Nothobranchius furzeri: one gene and its partner. The protein of the gene in region 1 interacts with the protein of each later gene in a biochemical or structural test. Links are inferred from orthologs where the notes say so. Each region holds a gene or a part of one and is shown on either strand. Other genes may lie near its edges.

Region 1 (3,825 bases):
CCACTGTGCAGTGTTTTCTGTCTGTGCTGCAGTGCATTGTGGGTAAACAACCCTACTTGGGTCTTGTTGTTTCTGAAATCTTGTGGTTTGTTCGGATAAAACTTTACAAGCAAGAGGTTAGCTCTTGAGATTTGTTTTCCAAAAAAATCCTACGTGATTCCTCTTTTCCTGACCTTTAACCTCACGCCTGTAAATTCTGACCTCGGTGTGAACCTGCTGGGGCGTTCACTCAGTGAGACTGGTGTGTTGGATGTTTGTCATGAGTTCATGCAGCAGAGAAACAGAATCATTCGTGTTTAGGCTTCAGGTTTCTTCTGGAAAAGCTGACAGTCAGACTGATTTATTAGTTTTCTGACAGAAAAGTAAAGAAAACTAAAGGTTAAAACTGTTTCCCCACATGTCAGAGAAATGAGAGGGTGTGTGTGTGTGTGTGTGTGTGTGTGTGTGTGTGTGTGTGTGTGTGTGTGTGTATTTTGGCAGACTTTTATTAAACAGGCCTTCCCTTCACTTGGTTTCTTTGCACCTGAGTCATCAGTAGCTGATAAGCAGGAAGTACTAGAAAAATAAAAGCATATTTTATTCAAATCATGTAGCAGGAAGTGTTTTGATGGGTTTAATTTAATTTTTTTACCCACATTTTGTTCCAACGTGTGTGTGTGTGTGTGTGTGTGTGTGTGTGTGTGTGTGTGTGTGTGTGTGTGTGTGTGTGTGTGTGTGTGTGTGTGTGTGTGTGTGTGTGTGTGTGTGTGTGTGTGTGTGTGTGTGTGTGTTGTGGGTGGGTGGGTGGGTGGGTGGGTGTGGGTGTGGGTGTGGGAGAGAGAGAGAGAGAATAATAAAAAAAAAAACGACCGGAGCGGAGGCAGTGACCGACGCAGCATGAGCCGTTTTCCGCTCTGTCTTGTCAAATGCACCACGTACGTTACGAAAAAAGTAAATTTAAATATTCAACCGAAAAAGAGGCGAACTGAAGAAAACCTAGAGTTCTGAAGAAACGTGAGCAACAGTGTAGCAAGCACAGAGAGATCCGTTACTGTCTCTGTGTGTGTGTGTGTGTGTGTGTGTGTGTGTGTGTGTGTGTGTGTGCGTGCGTGCGTGGGCCAAACTGGGCTTCCTCGTTTGCCTCTTTGATACGGTCTTCCCATTCCTTGGGACTGCTGCAGAGTTTTGTGTGTAGGGAGGGGCGGGCGCTCCATGTGACTGGCCAATCACAGAGCGTGAAGGCAGCCAGTTACCCAATGAGAATTTTTCTTCAGCACGATTTCAGATATTTACGAGTTTTACTCATTTCATGCTCGTATTCGTCAAAAATGCTTTATCCGTACCGGATATTGGTCTGGAACGAGTATCCGGCTCATCCCTAGCTGTAACCACCCTGCCCTGCCTCCTCCTCCTTGCTACCAGCTGGCTGTGATCACAAGCAACAACAGAGTAGTTCCCGCTGCTTCTTTGGGAAACAGCGCAAAAAACATTTTTTTTTAATCTATTAAACGGGATCTTGTAGGCGTGGCGGTGGGATTTCAGCCGTGGTGGCCCGCCACGGCTACGCCTATGTAAGGGAAACACTGAGTTTCTACTCGGACCGATTTAGAGGTGACACCCCCTGAGCCTGGTCACTTCCTGTCCGATTATGGTGTATGTTCTTAAAATAAAGTAAAGATAAGGAAAGCTAGAAATGTTCTTCTCGTGTTTGTTACCGACAGCGGAATGTTAGCATTGCTAGCGCCTGTTAGCATAATGAAGCTAATGATGCATCTGTTAGCAAGCCCGAGTTACTAAAATAGCTCTTTGCACAATTCACAGGATGGATCGGAGAATGAGGAGGAAGAGCGGGAGGAGGAGGAAGAGGAGAACACCGACTACCTGACTGACTCTAATAAAGAAAATGAGACGGATGAGGAGAACAACGTAAGATCTGATCCCAGATATTCCAGAGTTCCTCATCCTGGTTCTAATCTCTGTTCTCCCGCAGGAGGTCACCATCCGGGGGGGTGGACTGAAACTCGTGGAGTGTCCCGAGGACGAAGACTTCATTCAGGCTCTGGATAAGATGATGCTGGAGAACCTGCAGGTACCACATCTTGTTTTTAACTTCAGAAGACATGATTGTGCTAAATAGTTTGTTTCTTTTGTAAATAAATTTTTCTGTCACAGAGTCGGAAGCGTTTTTACACAACGCAGGAAAGTCGGTCACTCTTAGACACGAGAAGCTGAAACCCTCTTCTGATTGGTGTGTTTCGTGTCCGCAGCAGCGCAGCGGCGAGGCGGTGAAGGTGCACCAGCTGGACGTGGCCATCCCCCTGCAGCTGAAGAGTCAGTTGAAGAAGGGGGGGTCCTCACACCCATGCATGGGGGAGGCGGAGCCTGACATCTCTGACACCATGCAGTTCGTCATGCTAACTCGCAAAGGCAACAAGCAGCAGGTGAGAGCAGTTTAACCATACACACGACGCACACCGGCTGGGTTCTGCTGGTTTAATCAGGCGATTAGTCTGGGACCAAAGTTGCTGAACCAACCAGGACATGTCTCAGCTCAGAATGGATCAACCGCCAGACTAGACAGCTGGGAGTCGTGGAGCTAAAACCAGATTCTGGGTTTGTAAGACGATCGTCTGCAGAGTCGACCCAGTTCTGGTTCTGAGATGTAGAGACGACCTACAGTTAGAACAACCAGGGGATTACTAGTGGCTTTTCTAGCCTACTTGATGGGATTTTATATTTACATTTATTTATATTTATTTAGTTTAATTATATTTATGTTTTTATTATCACACCAAACCTCATAAAAAGCTTATTAAAATGTGTTTTTTAGTTGGGTAAGCACCTCCCTCAGTAGAAATGAATGCACTGGGGGGCCAAAAGAGACCAATTTAAAATGGTGGGCAGCAGCTCCACTAGGCAGCGCTAGTCCACGAGGCGTCTACGCATGTATGTATGTGCATTACAGTAAAACGACCTAGCATGCTAGCTAATCTAGCTAGCCTGGCTCTGGCTTCGCTTCCTGTTCAGCGGCTGTGAGCAGATGGGGGAGGGGCGGTCAGAGGAGCAGTTTGATGGATGAGTCATGGTAAATGGTCTGTATTTGTATACAGTCATTCACCCATTCACACACACACTTGTACTCTGAATCATGATCCAGTCATTAAGAAAGGGACGTTCACCGTGATTGGATGAGGTTTTTCCAGGATTGTACGTTTCATTTTTTTGATAAATCATTTAATTTATTTGCTGACATCAGCAGGTGAAGAACAGTAAAGATCACAGAGCCCACCTTTAAGAATTATATTAATGTTTTAAAGATTTAAATCTGGATACTTGGATCCGTCTAAAAATGGGAAATAATGATCCCCCCCCCCCCCCCCCCCCACACACACACACACACACACACAAGGCTGAGTGACACAGCTGCTTTGGTGCTCTTTAAGGATATTTTTTGGGAAGATGATGGTAAATGAGTGAAAATGGAGAGGCCGGATGGTGTTCCCTCCTCATTCCAGCTACACACGAGGGGATAACACCCTCGGATCTACAGTAAAAGTCAGCGAGGCCGTGTGGTGGAGTGTGTGGTTTGAGGGGAGAGACCGGCTTCTGTGCTGAAGGGTGTGTCCGGTCTGCTGCCAGAACTCCTGAGTTTTAAAAGAGTCCAAACATCAGCCGGTGTCGGAGACGTGGAGAACACAGAACGTCTGTGTGTGTGTGTGGGGGGGGGGTACTGGTCCCACAGAACCATCATTCAGCTTCTGCTTAAACGGTGTTTCTGTTTTTCCGCTTCAGGAATCCTGTCACAGGAAACTTCACTGAGAGAATCTGAAAGTTTTAACTATGAAT
Region 2 (2,912 bases), on another chromosome or scaffold:
GTTGTTCCAAAAGATAAATCACATCATTGCTTCTTTTTCTTGGTTTGCTTTCAGCCAAAAGGACAACACCTCTGCTGGAATACATCAAAAATAAGAAAATTGAAAAACAGGTAAGAAATAAAACAGTTGGAGGAAAATTCAATTAAATGTAAACCATGAAAAATAAACTCATTTTTGATGTTTCACACATTTAACAGAGAATCAGAGAGGAGAAGAGAGAGGAAAGGAGAAGGAGGGAACTCGAAAAGAAAAGGCAGCGAGAGGAAGAAAAGCGAAAGCGGCGAGAGGAAGAGAGGCGCAAGCGAAAAGAGGCAGAGAAGCAGAAGAAACTGTCAGAAAAGGACATCAAAATTAAGGTATCACTTCTCCTTTTCAGTGCTGTTAATGTGGTTATCATGTGTGAATGGTGCAGCTGCACACAAATAGAACGTAATTTTCCTTTTTTTTTTTTTGGGGTGGGATATTTAGCTCCTGAAGAAAAGCGACAGAGATGATGATATTGATTCAGACAGAACGAAGGAGAAAAGTGATACTGGTGATGGAGACAGGGGTAATTGGGAGAAATCTGTGGGACAAATGAAGTCAAAAGATCCCAAAGAGAAGTAAGACCTGCTAAATGATTCAATGTACATGCATTGAAAACATGTAGAAATTTCTGCCATTGTTTTCTTTTTTATTATATCAACAAAATAATCCAAATGTAAATGTTCTAATTAGTTTATTTCTAGGTTGTTGACATTTAAAAGTATATGGAATGTAAATTTTTAGCAATGTTCTTCATCCAAAAGACACTTTTGTTGGAAAATTAAATATTTCTTTATTGCCTGCAGTTAAAATTATTTAACAGTGAAATTCATTTTGACATTTAAGGGAAAAAAATGTAAACGTTTTTTTTAAGTAGCCGGAAATTTCATTATTGTGGTTGTACCTTTATGAAAAACAATTCATTATCTTCAGTAGTGCATGCTCTACTTTATGTAACCACTAGAGGTCAGCCTGAAAGCGACAAGGAGCAGAGAGAGCAGCAGCAACACGGGCGCAGGCAGCGAGACAAAGACCACAGAGGAAAAGATGAAGAAAGAAAACGACAACGACACCACTATGAGTTTGATAAGTTCATGCGCCGGAAAGATGAGACCAAGTGGGGGAAAGGCTACTGCCAGGACCGGGCCAAGAAAGAGGGCCATCACCACGGTTACTCCTACTGTCCTGACAGTGGAGAAAAAATGGGAAAGGAGGACAGGGAGGAGCTGAGTAACAGGAAGGAACGCCTCCGAAACAAGGTGAGCGAGAAGGTGAGCATGAGATTAAAAGGAAGCTGGTCACTGATGTATCCCATGATGCAGACATGTAACTATGCTTCGGAAGGTTTATTTATTTATTTTTTTACTACAAACAAAATATGTCAGTCACTTAGTGTTGTGACATACACAACCTCCACCCACACACTCACACTTTCACTGAATGGTGTGGTGGAGATGATGATGGGCTGTTTAAACAAGAAAAACAAAATGTTAAAAGTATATTTATTCATAACTGAAATCCTATTATACCATCACTCTCACCTGTGTGTTCTTAACATAATCTTTGTACATTTTTTCATAGTTTTTTTCTTCTATTACTAATTTATAATAGAATTTGTTGTGTGGCACATGTGTTTTTAGGTCACTAAAAATGTGTAAAAATACACATTGTAACTTTTAACAGCTGTGTGTCTTTAAGTATGTAGTCAAACATCTGGATTTCAATCCCAAGTGGAGCCTTTAGATCTAAACTATGCCCTTTGTTTCATCTCTGCCCTCTTCTCTTCCTTGCAGGACCGTCCAGCCATGCAGCTGTATCAGCCGGGAGCACGCAACAGGAAACGTATGAGCTCAGCCAGTAAAGGCTATGACTGCATCCCTGTGGGCCACTCACCCGAATGCAGGACGGATCGTTGTTATGATGTTGTTACCATGACAACTGGACTAGAGAGGGGCTTTGAAAAAAGCAAAGATGAGCTGTGAGTATTCTGGGTAAAATGAGGAAATACATGTATAAAGTAAAATAAACAGTTTGTCAGGTTATCTGGTTTGACTGGGTTAACTGGCTTATTGGTTCTGTTTCAAAAAAGGAACTGAAAGAAGATATTTTTAAAATAGTAATTAGAGCATTCGCTGCCTGATTGCCAGCATCAGTCTAATTGTCAACCCTTGATAGGATTGTATCCTCTGCATGGGAACATCATTCTTGATTTTATAGATTTTTAATGAAACAAACAATAAAGTTGGAGGAAGTTGCAGACCGATGACGTGGTTAATAAGAGTAAAATATGTTTTTATTACTGTGTACAGGTGAGAAGATGACTATGAATTAATTTAGAAAAACAAAGTTTCTGTCTAAATATTTTACTAGTGCTGTGGTTTAGTCAGCCAGCTTTATACATGATCAACAATGAATCTGTAAGGAAAACGCATAATTATAATGAAAAGTTTGCATTTTTGTTCTGTTACTCAAAACTAGTTATCACAAATGTTTCACTGCAGTTGTTGTCCACATAGGTTTTACAATTAGCTTTAGGGGTAGCTACGTTTTATAGCATTGTGTAAAAAATAGTTTTACGAGCTTAATAATAACTTTGCACGTCTCATTTGTAAGTTTCTTTATAAGAAATACATGATGTCAAACAATTCTGCGGTGTTTCCGTCATTGAGGATGTTCTCTGGGTGTGACAACAGACACCGTATGGTTGTGAGTTAATCACAGTTGGAGGTGATTCAACACAAGAAGGTTAGTGAAGGTGTGGCTCTTATATGAGTAAATAGAAAAAGGGTGTTGGCCTAAATCAGATGAACATCTGATCTGATTTTTGATTTCTGTAAATGAGAAACTGTACTTTGTGACTGTTGGCCCACAGATTCAGTCAGAAGAAG

The links.
Region 2: the proteins of upf2 (region 1) and upf3a form a complex in vitro, tested with the Homo sapiens proteins (2 studies listed by IntAct, with this or other methods). The link is inferred for Nothobranchius furzeri from reciprocal best matches to the Homo sapiens genes UPF2 and UPF3A.

The regions. Positions count from the first base shown.
Region 1 is NC_091741.1:38,128,851-38,132,675, forward strand, and holds part of upf2 (regulator of nonsense transcripts 2), read left to right. Parts: intron 1-1,800; coding exon 1,801-1,905; intron 1,906-1,969; coding exon 1,970-2,068; intron 2,069-2,246; coding exon 2,247-2,420; intron 2,421-3,825. UniProt on the Homo sapiens protein: Involved in nonsense-mediated decay (NMD) of mRNAs containing premature stop codons by associating with the nuclear exon junction complex (EJC).
Region 2 is NC_091754.1:29,406,770-29,409,681, forward strand, and holds the end of upf3a (regulator of nonsense transcripts 3A), read left to right. Parts: intron 1-54; coding exon 55-110; intron 111-197; coding exon 198-356; intron 357-468; coding exon 469-602; intron 603-988; coding exon 989-1,295; intron 1,296-1,817; coding exon 1,818-2,006; 3' UTR 2,007-2,184; downstream 2,185-2,912. UniProt on the Homo sapiens protein: Involved in nonsense-mediated decay (NMD) of mRNAs containing premature stop codons by associating with the nuclear exon junction complex (EJC) and serving as link between the EJC core and NMD machinery.